2 linked regions of the Stegostoma tigrinum genome follow. The protein of the gene in region 1 interacts with the protein of each later gene in a pairwise test. Links are inferred from orthologs where the notes say so. Each region holds a gene or a part of one and is shown on either strand. Other genes may lie near its edges.

Evidence for each region.
Region 2: the proteins of ccna1 (region 1) and cdkn1bb interact in binary tests that used the Homo sapiens proteins (3 or more experiments, as listed by UniProt). The link is inferred for Stegostoma tigrinum from reciprocal best matches to the Homo sapiens genes CCNA1 and CDKN1B.

What each region holds. Positions count from the first base shown.
Region 1 is NC_081359.1:85,059,938-85,067,255, reverse strand, and holds the start of ccna1 (cyclin-A1), read right to left. Parts: upstream 3,176-7,318; 5' UTR 3,003-3,175; coding exon 2,838-3,002; intron 2,630-2,837; coding exon 2,371-2,629; intron 2,136-2,370; coding exon 2,008-2,135; intron 1,536-2,007; coding exon 1,312-1,535; intron 1,150-1,311; coding exon 945-1,149; intron 1-944. UniProt on the Homo sapiens protein: May be involved in the control of the cell cycle at the G1/S (start) and G2/M (mitosis) transitions. May primarily function in the control of the germline meiotic cell cycle and additionally in the control of mitotic cell cycle in some somatic cells.
Region 2 is NC_081371.1:28,399,826-28,408,150, reverse strand, and holds the start of cdkn1bb (cyclin dependent kinase inhibitor 1Bb), read right to left. Parts: upstream 3,374-8,325; 5' UTR 3,037-3,373; coding exon 2,556-3,036; intron 2,168-2,555; coding exon 2,043-2,167; 3' UTR 2,028-2,042; intron 512-2,027; 3' UTR 1-511. UniProt on the Homo sapiens protein: Important regulator of cell cycle progression. Inhibits the kinase activity of CDK2 bound to cyclin A, but has little inhibitory activity on CDK2 bound to SPDYA. Involved in G1 arrest. Potent inhibitor of cyclin E- and cyclin A-CDK2 complexes.

The sequences.
Region 1 (7,318 bases):
TTGGGCTATTATTGGTCATTAGTATGGGGTGTGTTGGTTCATTAATACTATTTGACCACTATGCTCCCAAAAAAGAGTGGAGTCATTACTTTGTCAATAGCCAGTGCTTCAGCAGTTACTGGTTTCCTACTGACAGGAGGGCTGAATTATATTTAGACAAAAAACAGATCTCTGGTGTCAGGCAAGGCTTGCACTCTAGGCTTCTAACCCCAAGGCAGGACACCATCACTGCACCCCAATTGTGCATTTACAACCTGTCTTTTCATTAGAGTGTGAAGTGGTTAGGATGGTATATGGGATACCTTTATCCAATACTCTGGACTAGTAGGCAAGAACAAGGTGGTCATGATGGACCCGCATATAAAAAAGTATTACTTCAGCCAGAGCTGTGGTGCTGTATGCAGTTCTCGTTGCCACACTAAAAAGGTGATGTGACTGTACTAGAGGAGACAAAAGGAGGACGTTCGAGACTGGAGCAATTCAACTAAGGAGATTTAAAAAGTTGAACCCCGTGGGTGGTAGAGGGGGATGGGGAAGATGGAGAAAGGAGTTCTGCGAAGTCTGAACAGCAGGGACCAGACAACCTTCGTACTTAGATCAAGACCCAAAAAAATTAACCAATGAGCACTGAGTTGTGGACATCTGCCTAAGCGATAGCGATACAGGCAGAACCAAAGCAAGACATTCAAAAATGGTACCAGGTGTTCACCAAATGCTATAGGGTGCAAAGCTAACAGCCAAGAACTGGAAAATGTTATTAGATTAAATGGCTGTTAAAATGACTGGTATGAACGGCATCCGAAGAGGTGCCAGGACCCAGACACTGATTTACCCAAATAAATTGGGCTCTTAAGTCTTCCAAATCTCAGAATTTGAGTAGAATTCCTACCTGTAGAAGGCCAGGAGTTGGACTGGAATTTTACCCAGGCAAAAAAGATACATACCATCGCCAGGTTTCCCATTTGTCCATCGATCCCTTCCTCTTTCAAAAACTGCGTTAGGAACTGGTTAACTGTTGGGACAGTCATGTCAAAGCTCAACACCTTGAGTAGGAGATGCTCCATGCGCAGGAGTTGTTTTTTTGTGTAAGTGTCATCTGTTATGTAGACAAACTCATCTATTTCCGGGGGATAGATTTCTTCGTATTTCCTAGGGGGGAAGTGTACAAATTGATCGTTCGAGATTAAGTTTGTATTAAAATTGCCGAGATTACGCAATCTGCGCATTCCTCCAGCCACGATTGTTTTAAGTTTGCGCTCAGATAGCGACTTGACAAGTTTCCCACGCTAGAATTAAAAAAGAAAGACTTACGATGCTACCAGCATAGCTGCTGTGCCCACCAGTTGCAGCTTTCCCCTCAGGACTGACATACACGACAGGAATCTGTCCAGGTAGTTTATTGCTAAGTACAGTGTCTCAGTTTGTAGGTTGTACTCCTCACCAACTTCAACTAGCCAATCCACCAGAATTGAGCGCATACTGTGCGTTATATCTGGTTGCTTCTTCATATACCCAAATTTCGGTCTGCATTTCTCCTGAAAAATAAACACTTTCAACGATTAACGCCAAGTTGGGCGGATGAGAAAAGCCGAATTGCTAGAGTGACAAGTCCTGGTGCAGAATTAAAAATTCATCCCACAGGGAATGAACTGGGAGCCTACGAATTTGAAGGGCGGAGACTACGAGTCTAAGTCTGCTCTGAAATCCAGACAAACACTGCTTAGTGCTACTAGATTATTTCCTGTAGTCCAACTGCAGCGGAGTTGGACGCCTGGAGATTAAGAGTGAGTGAAACAAAAGCAGTTTCATAAGCGATACAGACTTTCTCGTAGTTAAATCTTGTTTCGAAGTAGATTTCGCAGCAGGCGAGTTTTGAATGCCCAAGTGGAAAAAACTCAGGACAACTAGCACTATGACCAAAGCCAGCGGAGAACCGCGAAGGACATACAGTCAGCCGAAAATGTTGTTATTTCAATAAACATTAAAGCGCATGCTGCTGAGACTCACTTCTGCCTCTCGGAGATACCGATAAATGTCTTCTGCATAGCCTTCCACGGCGAGGTAATTTACGTGTAGATGCGAATCTTCATGTGAACGCTGCGAGCGCATTGATGAATCTACTATCATAGGCGAGACTGTACAGACGACATAAACATTGAACGGCCAATGAAGGTTTGGGAACAGAATGCTTCGAACACGTGTACAAAGTAGAACTAGGGCTATGTACTCGAATGGTAAAGTTTTGAACCCAATCGTGTTAGTAGCGAAAATAAAACGGATGCAGTAACGTAATCTATATTTTAGAAGGCAACGCGATTAAAAAAAGCTCAAATCGAGCGATAACAAATTTAGCTCGCGTCTCGCAATTACCTTCACTCAGATCCAAGAGCAGACAGTAGTCGTCTGCTGGTTTGGAGATGTTGCCAACTTCTCCAAGTTTAGATTCCAGTTCAGAGGTCAAGTTACATTCAGAGACTTCGACCTCATCTTGGACTTCATCCTCCATGTAAATGGAGAAGTTCGGGTTGGACACAAAAGTAGCCGGATATTCCGAGAGGGTGCTGCAGCCTTTCGAAGTGAACCCATTGTCAGTCCCCACTGCAATGGTGCTGCAAGCTTTCGCTGAAACCTAATGAAACGCATTAGGTGTTGAGGGGGGGGGGGGGGGGGGGGTGCGGAGAAAAGGGAAATTCAAGGTCAGATAGTTTGCAAAACGGCCGAAATCGCCCAAGAGCTCCAAACGATAGATTTAAATAGCAGAGCTCCGAACATTCCGGGGGGGGGGGGGGGGGGGAGAATGGAAGCCCCAGGAATAGCGGATTTACTGAAGAGGTTACCTGAGAAAGTGAACGTCTCTGCTGGTCATTCTCATTTAGCACCCCTAAAACGGTCCTTTGCTTTTGGCTAACTGGGCCCATCTGCGGGACAAGATGTTGATTTTCTTGATTAGCATTGCGCTTGACAGCAGCGGAATTACTCCTGTACATGGTGGCTACATACATAAATTAAACAGCACCAACAAAAAAATTAGCTCGCACAATTTTTTTTTTCCGCCGTTCAGCTCTAAGCAATACCCTCTCAGATCACACTTATGAGTGTGTAAGAGCTTGCCTGAAGCCAGCCTATATAGCGGAGTGACTCTAATTAGTCTCCGGGCGAAAAGCAGCTCCCTCCACTCCCATCGTGTAGCAAATTACTTTCAAGCAGCCCGCGTCTATTAAATCGCACCAATCACCTTCCGTTATTGGCGCACGTGAGCTTCGTCTCCCCGGTGCCATGGTAACGCAGCACGCTCCCGGCTGCCACCTGACTTCCGTATGTTCTGCGGCTGCGTGTTACCAAGGCGACAAAGAAGTAGCATCTTTGGGAAAGAATTGAGCGCTCGACATTCTGTACCCCGCAGGATGCGGCACGAAAACTGGGGAGACTTTCTCCGAAGGCCTTTGTTTTTCAAAATATAAGATCCGAAACCCTTTTCCTGCCGTATCTATCCAATCCTTAAGGCGCTTCCACGGGAACCGTTGTAAATGTCTTTTTCCGGCTTCACCCATTTTCCACGAGTTTCTGGGTGGGATCGGAGGTAGAAAACAATATGCAAAAGATGGACGACAACTTTTTCCACATAATCTTGTGGCGCAAAATGCTTGGTGCTGGTTTTGATCATGGACTGAATGGTGGGGGTTGCATTTATAGGCCCAAAGTGGTATAGTACGACTTCAAGTATGAATCGCATAGGATTAGTTTTTAGCGAGGAAGTTGGTTATTGTAAGCGTTAGAAGCGTGCAGAGTCGGCAGATCTTAGTGCCAGACCCGGGAGTCCAATGCTTCATGCAATCGGCTGTCATAAATACAGATAGCTGAATAAGCAGAGATAATGGGAACTGCAGATGCTGGAGAATTCCAAGATAATAAAATGTGACCCTTAGGGTCTAGGCCCGAAACGTCAGCTTTTGTGCTCCTGAGATGCTGCTTGGCCTGCTGTGTTCATCCAGCCTCACATTTTATTAGCTGAATAAGCATTCGGCAACAGGAAGACCAACTACCACAACCACCCCAACCCCCACCAAATTAGTGCTATTAACAGATAATTTAACAATTTCTGAAGAACGGTCTAGGCCCGAAACGTCAACTTTCCTGCTCCTCTGATGCTGCTTGGCCTTCTGTGTTCATCCAGCTCTACACCTTATTATCTAATAATTAAAGTGTTTGTTTTGACTCTTGCCGTGGATCGTTCCCCAGGTATTACAACCCAAGCCTAAAGTCAAAATCAACAAGGTAAAATTAAATATAAAATAAGGTGACTATTGGAAGCTGGGAGTTCTACTACATATATCACAATTAAAATGAACTTAAATACAATGTCAAACTATGTGGGTTAACATTACAATTAAAACATTGTTAATCAACATCAGCATCCATCACCAATTCTAAATCATGTGAGAATAAATTCTGGAAAATTGGACAGATTGGGGTTGTTTTTCTTGGAAGTGAAGACCATAAGATACAGGAGCAGAATTTGGCCATACGGCCCATAGAGTCTGCTCCACCAATAGATCGTAGCTGACATGTTTTCCAACACTATGTTTATGCCCTTCCCCCATAACCCTAGACCCACTCCCCAATAAAGAACCTATCTATTTCTGTCTTAAATAGAGTCAATGACTCAGCCTCCTCAGCCCTCTGTGGCAATGAGCTCCACAGATTAACCATCAATTGTCTGAGGAAGTTCCTCCCCATCTCAGTTCCCAAAGGTTGTCCCTTCATGCTGAGGCTATTCTCTTGGATCCTAGTCTCTCCTATTAGTGCCAATACTTCCTTCATGACCTCTAGGTCCAGGCTTCTAAGTATTCTGTGAGTTTCAATCAGATCCCCTATCCTAGACTTTGTGTATAGTTCCAGAGTGCTCAATGGCTCATCCCTGGGATAATTTCTGTAAACATCTTCTGAACTACCTCCAGTGCAAGCGCATCTTTTCTTACATATGGGGCGCAAAACTACTCAATATTTCAAATGTGGTCTGACCAGAGCCTTAGATAGCATCAGCAGTATATCTCTGCTCTTAAAGTATTAAAGCCTTCTAGAAATGAATGCTAACATTGCATTTGCCTTTCTAAATACCAATTAACCTAAATGTTAACCTTAAGAGAATCCTGAACTTGAATCCCCAAGTCCATTTATATTTCAGATTTCCAAAACCTTTCCCCACTTTGAAAATAGTCTATGCTTCTATTCTTCTTTCCAATGTCCACACCCTCACACTTTATCACATTGTATTCTATTTGCCACTTCTTTGCCCTCTTTCCAAGACTGTTCTAATCTTTCTGCAACCTCCCTGCTTCCCCAACACTACGTGTCCCTCCACTTATCTTTGCGTTATCTGCAAACATAGCAACAATATCTCAGTTCCTTCATCTAGATCATTAATATATAACAGAATAATTGTGGTTCCAACAAGGACCTCTGCAGAACCCCAACAGTCACCAGCTACTATCCTGAGAAAGGTCCATTCATCCTTACTCTCTGCCTTCTGCAAATCAGCCAATCCTCTCTCCGTGCTAGTACCTTACCCCCAATACCAGTAGGTCCTGTCTTATTTAGCATCCTCATATGCGGGTTGTTAAAGGCCTTCTAGAAATCCAAATGGATCATGTTTACTTGCTCATTACCTGTACCTTTGACAAAGCCTTGCCAACTCAGCCCTATTTTATCAAACACTTCAACCGAAACCTGCATCTCCTTTCTAGCTGATTAATGATTTAACAGCCATATTAGGTTTATTCAATACATTCACATCAGTTCAATGACACTTTGATCTTTGGTTTTAAATTCTGCATCTGATGCCACCATTCACTAACACCTGAAGAAGGAGCGAGACTCTGAAACCTTGTGTTTTCAAATAAACCTGTTGAACTATCACTTGGTGTCATGTGATTTTTGACCTTGTCCATTCCAGTCCAATGCCTGGTTGAGTAGGAAACTCAACTTATATCAAAGATTTCATTGGCAGGAGAATTAAGTATAAGGGTCGCGAGGTTATGCTACAGCTCTATAAACCCTGGTTAGACCACACTTGGAATATTGTGTTCAGTTCTGGTCACCTCATTGTAGAAAGGATGTGGAAGCTTTAGAAAGGGTGCAGAGGAGATTTACCAGGATCCTGCTTGAACTGGAGTAGAGGTCTTATAAGGAAAGTTTAAGGGAGCTAGGGCTTTTCTCATCGGAGCAAAGAAGGATGACAAGTGACTTGATAGAGGTGTACAAGATGATGGAAAGGCATAGATAGAGTGGATAGCCAGTGACTTTTACCTAGGATGGAAATGACTATTATGAGGGGGCACATTTTTAAGGCAATTGGAGGAAGATATAGGGGAGATGTCAGAGATAGGTTCTTTACACAGAGAGTGGTGGGTGTGTGGAATGCACTGCCGGAGGTGGTAGTTTAGTCAGGTACATTAGGGGCATTTAAGTGACTTTTGGATAGGTACATGGATGATCATAAAATGTAGGGTATGCAGAGTAGTTTGATTTCAGAGTAGGATAATAGGTCAGCATGATATTGTGGGCTGACGGGCCTGTACTGTTCTATGTTCTATGTTTTAAAGATAGAAAATGCTGGAGAAACTCAGGAGCATTTCATCAGAAACTCCAGCACTGTTCTGGTGCCCATTTGCTTTATTAGGACATAGTTAGACTTATAGGTGGAGCTCCACTTCCAGCAAAAACGACTACGATATTTATCATTCTTATTAACCCCCCAGACTAAAACTGTTCAGAAATACTTTGAAGAGTTCTAAAAGTCTTGAAACTTTAACTCTGTTTCTCTCTCCACAGATGTTGCCAACCTGCTGAATTTCTTCAGAATCCTGTTTGGTTCAATTTCCTGTGTCTGCAGTGTTTTGCTTTCATTTGACCCTCAACTTTTACGCAATATTTAGATATTCACTTCCATTGGCATAGCTTCCAGTATTATGGTCCAAGAGATGGAACATGGGATTAGTGTGAGTCTGATCTTTGTTGAATGCTTCAGACATATTGGTATCATTTTGTACTGTAAATGTCTGAATCTGCCTGGTAAAATTCTCAGCTTTAGATTATAATGCTTATTTAATGGTACTTGGTCATGTCTGCTTTCATTTCCACAAATTGGCTTCCTCATTCATATCTTTTGATTAAACTAAGTTGTCTATTTCATTTTCTCACACATTTTTCAACCCCAGTATCTTAATTGGATTAATGCATAATCTTATACACCCCTCAGCTGTTTGGTTGCTAATAAAATTTTTGAGGATGTGAGTAGACTGACAGCTGTAGCTCCACT
Region 2 (8,325 bases), on another chromosome or scaffold:
AAAATTATCTTCTAGATTTCAAAAACATCAATTCTTTATAACATAAATAAGTTAGTATAATTTCTCAGTGTCTTTACAAAGTTATGTACACAGGTACATTTTAGATTTTTTTATTCTTTTAAACATACAATACACAGGTATTGTAACTTTGCAGTTTCTAAACTGCATTGGAAAACTACACTGCTACTATTCAAGTCATACATTTTCTAAACTCTGCATTTTAACAGTTTCCCACTTCCTCCCCTTCACCCCACCCACCCCCCAAAAATGATTTATGTGCTACAAAAAAAAACTATGTACACAGGTAGTAAAATCAGCCAAGTGATAAAGGAAGAACCTAATTGCACAGCGCTATATCCACTCTAAAATCAGCGGTTTAGTGTTCACAAGTTCAGTGCCTGGGCTCTCCACACTTGGAGAGATAACGATATGTCTGTCTCTGAGGAGATCGTCCTCGCTTCATCAAGCACTGCCATGGATGAACAAGGGGGAAAAAAAAGGATCTTCATACCTAACAAGGAAAAATACAAAGTAAAAAGATTAATACAATGTTTGGTAATTATGTATCATTGGAATTACTTAAAATGCTATTTGGCATAGCTACACTGATAATTTCAACTCAGCTGCTGATTACAGGGTACAGTTGGCAAAAGGGTTAAGCAATTGGTTATTCAACTGGACACTGAGCCAACTAATACCATTAGTGCTAAGACTTGTGCACAGATATGATCATGTTATTAACATGATATTTCAATATTTGATTTAAAAATCTAGCAACTGGACAAGTTACACTGCCTGGAAGTAATCAAAAAATGCATTTGTCAGCATGGTGGGACTTTAGACACAAGAACCACATTTAACTAGTTGCTATAATTTTCAAATGCACAAATATGTATTACTTGTTATTGAATATAGTTAGCTGTGGTGCATCCAGGCCTTTCCTTTAAAAAGCAAACTGATTTGCTTTGGGCCAGGGGGGAGATATGGTGAGTGTGGCAGCACTACCTGAAAGAAAGTCACCTATATAGGTTTCTTAAAGAGAGAGTTTTTGGATCTGACTAGTTAGACCTACCAACTTAAAGAAATATCACAACTGCACAGGGCAATATATCTGTAGTCTAATTAGGATGTTTTAAAATCTCAGTGCAAACACACCTTGTTCTATCTGAAACTGATACAGAAGACAGTTTAGCATACACAATACTTCACAAAAAGTAGTGGACAATATTTTCAATGCACGACTTTGACTACGAATGTGGACAGAGCCAAGAAATAAGCATCTCCATTAAATTTTAATTTGTTGAGACTAGCTATTTAAAAAGCTAGCTTCCCCACCACACCCCTTGTTTGTATATTAAACCTGAGTGTACACCACATAGTCCCGCCACTCACATTTTACTACAACTTATAAAATCATAGGGGAAATGAGAGAAACGTTAAAATATATGTGCCATGCAGCTATTCTACAACCTTGGACTCAACCGCAAGTGTAATTTTGAATGCTGCTTGTACATCAGCCGGGGAGATAAAGAACAGCTTCCTCCTGTGATCTGTTTTTAATCGTGATTATTTCTTGTTTTATTGTATTAATGTTGGAAGTTGGCGTAAAGGGAAAAAATGCCCAATGTATAAAGCCTACAAAGACACATTACAGTTGTGGTTGCGCACTCCCCCGCGTAATGTACTACGTTTTCGCAGTCAGTCCTGAGACTTTATTGACAAGACTTGTGCAAAGCAATCTACCGTATTGTGGAGGGAAGGAAAGGACACCCAAGATGTTTAACTTGTGCAGAACGCTACAGTGTATCTGGTTATTTGAAAACAGCTGGAAATAATCACCTGTGCATACGTGTCGGTCAGAAAATATAGCAAAGAAACACGAGTGACATTACAACCCTGTGTACGCTTTCAAACCTGGGCCAGTGAGGCCAACCGGTTAATGCAGTATAAAGTCTTGTTGCTACCTTTGTTGTTATATGATATTTTGGGAGGAGACAGTCAATTGAAAAAAGGTACAGAAGAGCTACCTTGTCACTTTTGCTTTATGTTTGATGCCCGCTCGAAATCGATTTCTTCGGCGTCTTCTCTAATGTATTTATATTGGGAGAATTTGCTGACCAGTCTGACTCCGTCGCTGTGTTGGTTCTTTTTGCTTCTGGAAAGCCATCTATAATCAAGAAAAGCTAAATTAAAATTTGTAAAAAAAAATTCAGTATGATAGTATATTATGTGCGTTACTCCTTAATGAAGGTTCGTCGTGCTGATGGGTAGTAGTCAACCACATCTCAAGCTTGTTGAAGGGGGGAGAAAAGCCGTTTGCTTCATCTTTGTAAAAGGCCTTTGAAGTTGCAGTATCCTTTTTCAAACGTAGGGGAACTCATGCTTAACCCCAAACAGACCAAGAACTGCACGATTTTAAAAGCAGGTCCGCGGAAATATGTGAATAAACCACTGGTTGGCAGTGAAAGCTTCTTTTTGCGCGAAAAAAAAGGTCAGAAAGGTCCGTTTGAAAATGGATCCTGCAACTCCCAATAGAGTACATCTTTGTCACTTACCGACTGACGCAGCTCGTTTTCGGGGACTACAGCACTGCTCTTTTGAGTCCGTGAAATGTTCAGTTGTCTCTTTAACCACGTCCTTTTGCTCTGAATTCGCAAAGTGTGTCTCCCCTGAATTTCCCTGAGCCAGAGTTCCTGCGCAAACTATCGCATGGTTCCCGTTCACATCCATACTGCAATCGGCTGATGACACTTGCTCCCTGGGAGAACCCCAGTAAAAATGAGGCACATCCTTGCAATCCACGGCTTCCCATTTGTAATTCCCATCCAGCGGCTTGTCCCTCTCGAAGTCGTAATTCCACCTCCGCCTGTCCTGCTCGCGGATCTCCTTCTGTTTCTTTTGTAACTCTCGGTTCAACTCGTCGTGGTTTACGGGACCGAAAAGATTCCTGCAGGCTGAAGGTTTTGGGTGCCCTCCTTGCTGAGCTGCCATTCTCTCCAGCGAAGGGCTACCATTAGAAATGCGTACGTTTGACATTTTTTTTCCCTTCGTACCCCCTCTCGCTGCAAATCGTCCGAAGCCTCACAGACAGCAGGACTGCAAGGTTACACGATGTAACAATATCGTGCAATTCTTCAGAAAGCTGCAAAGCACAGAACCACAACAAAAACGCCAACAACAGCAGCAGTTTACAACCTATCGCTCGTCAAAACTGATTCCAGTAAGGCGGAAAAAAAACTGGCTTTTTTTTCAGTTACCCAATATGGCGAAGGAGGCTGACGAAGAGGAAACTGAGTGACGGACAGGGAATTTTAAAAAGAGAGCACCCTGCGATTGGCCGGAGTGAAGCTGCTCCGCCCTTGTCCCGCCCTCAAGTGTAGGGCTGGGACTCGGGAACGAGCTTGCTCTAGGCTGGGAGCGACCTTGTAATGATCTAAAAACGTTTTGTTTATTGACAAGCAATCTCTCTCTTCTCTCCCCCTCCCTCCTCGAAGGGAGAGTGAGAGGTAGGCGCCTATGGAGAAGTATTAGCGAAGCGTGAAACCTACTAAAGAGGAGTCAGCTCGTAGCGCCATCAACCCGACAGCCGCAGCAAACACAGCTCTCCCGCAGCAAACGTGAATTCTCCTACATATTGCATCACTTAGATTCATTGAAGTGACTTTATACCGACTATTAGGGACATTAAAAAAAACATATGACAGCGTAGGAGTGCATTTGGTCCATCGTTTCCGTACTAGACGGGTAAACGTCATCCAGCCTCCCTCCCAGCTTCCAACTCTTGGTCCGTAGCCCTGGACGATAGGGCAGCTCATGAGCACATCCAAGTGTTTTGTTTATAAACCAGCTATCCTACACCTCAAAATGCACATTACTAATTGTTAAAATCCTACAAATGCAGCAAACACCTCGCAATAAATGATCGAGAGTAATCAGGCTATTCATGAAAATTGCTCTCGATGAATGCTCAGACATCCCAAAACTGGAGAATTTTCAGTGAGATGAATGATTTCGCTAATGATTGAGCACAGCCGCAGCACGCATGACCAACCGAGTAACTTTACTGGAAAGTGCTCAAGGGGTTAACAGTGTGTCGGTTATATTTTAAAATCTTAACTGGTTTCCTTTTATGCGACGTAAACATGTTTCTTGGCGGAATTTTTTTAACTCCGATCTTGGACTTTCTGCCAATAACCGCTCTCAATTGTGCAGTTTACCACTTTTGTGGATTAATCATCTGAAACTGGCCGGGTGAGTGCAGAATAAAGGCTATGAAACAATAGTAATGTAGTCGAATTCACAAAATACGGGGTTCTCTTTCTATTTTAAAATATTAACGTGGGTGAGAGTTTGTAAATCATATTTTCATTGTAGATACTGTAGTTTAACTGGCAACTCGTGTCTCCCTTCAGCAATACAGCAGGTGACTGCACAGAGTGCTAAAAGGGCGCGTCAGAAATTATGATGTCGTTTTCAAGAATTAAACATAACCGTAAAAACGTCTTGTAGTTGATTTCTCGGCAGTTGTTTGAGAGCCTTCTAGACGCATTCATAGCTGTTACAAGGTGTTATGTTTAGGAGCTACCCAAGACATCCAGGGATCGCTTTTCGAGACTCGATACGTAAAGGCGACTTTTCCTTCACCTCAGTGTATGTAGTATTTGGGAAACGAAATGAAGACTCAGATCTCACTGTAAAACATGTTCTGTGATTGTATTCCAAGAAAACAGTCAATTTTGGTAAACATTAGGACGTCAACAGAACTGAAATGCAGAGGTCGATCTCACTGTTTGCACATTAATTGCGCTGTGTTTACTTATAAATACTGGGCGCAGCAAAGAAAAATATGAACGGTCTTGATTGTAATGAGGTCGCAAGACAAAAGCTAGAAAGTAACTGATTCAGAAAGTATTTTCAGTGTAAATTATCATTGCTTAGAATTGTTTTATTGTGCTTCGCAATCACACCTAGTATATTTTTGAATCACTCTTTTGGGGACACTGCAGGGAAAGGGCAAACGCCGTATTTGTGTTTCTCTCGGATAAACGACGACTCCTTTGGTAAAACCGTGGAGTAATTTGTAATGTGTTTCAAGATGTATCGCCCAAACAAAGCTGACACAAAGTAAATAAATCTCCGATTTACCCAGAGCACATTTTCCAAATGTAGTTACAATCAGTCTTAGTACACTTGAGCATTATATCCCGCCCCATCTTCGGGGGGCGGGGGGGCGGTGGTGGCTTATAATGCATGCGGAATCACCGATTCTTATATAAGACAAACTTCAGAGAGGTTATCTTAACCATTATGAGTTATTCTTATTAGTTAAAGTACAGCATTTACCCCTGTCACTCAATAATCTAATTTGCGCCAAATTCTGTTAAATCCTTGACAGCGAAACGGGAACGGGATAGTGGAATAGGGAAGAATATCAATGGAGCGTCCAACATTCAGTTAGGATTTTGCATATGAATTGCTATGGGCACATATAGCAGTAGTCTCATATTTGATCTAGCCATTGAAGGATTGTTTATCTCTGTAAAGCCATTCAGACAAGGCATCGGATCGTTGCATTTGTTGCACCTCAATAGCTATGCTGAATTTTGCAACCATGTGCATGACAGTTTGTTGCAAGTTCTTAATGATTGTAATATGGGGAGAATAGAATATGAACCCAACCCAAAACAAAAAAAAACAGCTTATATACGTATATAAATAGGAAAGACAAATGTGGGTCCATGACAAACAGATATGGGGTAATTTATAATGGGAATGGGTACAAGAAATTTCCCAGAAATAATAGTTCAAAGAAACTAATGAATTGAAGAACTGAAAAAAAGGTGTGGTTTAAAAAAATGTAGTCCTGCAGAATTACTGGGACTGAAAATTGAATTGCTGGGATCCAATAATCCACAACCTAGAGTATTGAAAGAGGTGGCTTTAGAGAGAGTGGATGCATTTGTTGTCATCTTTCAAGATTCTATTGATTCTGTATAATACTTCCAAATTGTAAACGTTGAAATATAATGTCATTACTTAAGAAAAACAGCAAAGAGAAAATAAGGCACTGCAGGTGTGGTAGCCTGACATCAGTGATAGGAAAAATAGTGGACTCTATAAAATGTATGGTAGCTGATAATCATCCAATTGGTCAGTGTGAACATGGACGTATGAAATGAAAATCATAATGACAAACGTGTTGGAGTTTTTTTTAGTTGGTAGTGGGGAGCTATTGGACTAGTGAATCTTGTGCACTTGGATTCTGAGAAGCTTGTTGGTAAAGTACCACCTAGGATATTAGTGAGGAAAATTAGAGCATGTGGGATAAAGGGCAATATACTAGCATGGATTGAATCTGGTTAACAGAAAGAAACAGATGGGTAAAAGATTAGTGTTTGGGCCCTAGGTGTTCACAATCTATGTCAATGATTTGGAAATGAGGACCAAATGTAATATTTCTAAGTTTGCTGATCGCACATAACTAAGTGGGAATCTAAATTGTGAGGAGGATACAAAGAATGGGAAAAAATATGGCAGATGGAATTTAATATGAATAAGTGTGAGATTATTCACTTGTGATAGGAATAATGAGGTGCATAGTATTTCTTCAGAAATTGAGCAGTGTTTATGCCCAAAGGGGAAAATGGTCCTTGTTCATAAGTCACTGATAGATGACATACAGATGCGGCAAGCAATCAGGAAGGTGAATGGCATGTTGGATTCTATTACAAGAGGATTTGAGTAAACAGTAAAAATGTTTTGTTTCAATTGTATAGAACCTTGGTGAGACCATATCTGAAGTATTGTGTATAATTTGGTCACCTTATCTAAGGAAGGATATACATGCTGTAGAGGGAACTCCAGAGTTTCCCCAGATTAATTCCTGTAATTGAGGACTGATTGAGGAGGCTGGGCCTATGTTCACTAACATTTAGAAATGTACAAATTTTTTAAAGAACTGGACAAGTTGGGTGTGGAACAATATTTCCCCTAGCTGGGAAAGTGGAGGTGTTAGTCTAAAAGAATTTTCTGCCACACAGGGCACTGTTGCATTATGTTCAAGGCATAAGTTAATAGATTTCTAACATCAAGTGTTATGGGGATAGAGTGGAATGATTGGATTGATGTAGATGATCAGCCATGATCAAATTTAGTGGAATGAACCCAAGTGAATGGTCTACTCTTGCTCCAATGTTCCCATACACTAATATTTTGGAACATTGTCGGAGCCTTCAAAAATGTCTCAGATTGGAATATGGGGAAGAAAATTTTGAAAGAGTCCCAAGTAGAGAAGAAAATAAATCAACAGAAAGAAAAGCAGGAAGGGGAAACACAAAGGGTGAGAAATGAACAATGGGGCAACAATCCAGACATAGGAGTGTATTCAAGGGTGAAGAGATGGTGGATATCATGCATTATGTGGCCACCGGTGGGGAGTGCAGTGGTTATTGGATGGGTAGGAAAGTTATTGGAGGGATTTGAAAGAGAATCCAGTTCTTTGCAGCAGTAGGAAGCTACTTGAATTTGGTGGTGTAATGGTAATAAGGCCTTCATGTAGGAGATGGAATAGCTGTAACATTCTCAGTACCTGTGATTTTTAAATGATAGAATTGGGACAGTTATCATTGGAGGAGAGTAGTAATCGACCTATAAATGTATGGAATTGGGTTTTGATGGGAAAGAAAGACAGATGGGTAAAAGGCAGGCATTGTTGTAGAAGTGAAACAAAGGCGGCCTGGTGCGTGCTCGATTGACTATAGGGAAGGAAGCAGTTAAAGCTTGAACAGTACAGCATGAGGTAGCAGCCAAGGATAAGATACTGTAAAGTGTTTGCAGCAGCTGTAAAGGACAACTTGGTTCTGCTGGCATTAACTTGGAGAAGATATGTGATCATCCAGGGCTTTATGTTGAATACACAACCGAAAATGTGGATAACCATCATGACGAAAGAATATGATATAATTTATAAAATGGCATGGGTAATTATGTAACCCTAGTTGCACTAGAGATACTTGGGTATGGAAGGACAAATTGTTGGACATATTATCTATAATGTGACAGGATGGAGTCAGGACAGACGGTGTTACAGACATGAACTATGCACAGAGAAGGATAGCATGCCTAACAGGGTTTTGGAAGGATAGCATGCCTAACAGTGTTGAATAAATTACGAAGATTAAAGAGGATAAAATCAAAAAAAAATTGGACCCCTACAGTGCAGAAGTAAGCTATTAGACCAGAGGCCTATGCCAGTTCTTTGAAAGAGGTTTTTGCATAATCCATTTTGCCCCACCACAGTGGTGCTTTCCCTCTTAACCTTGTAAT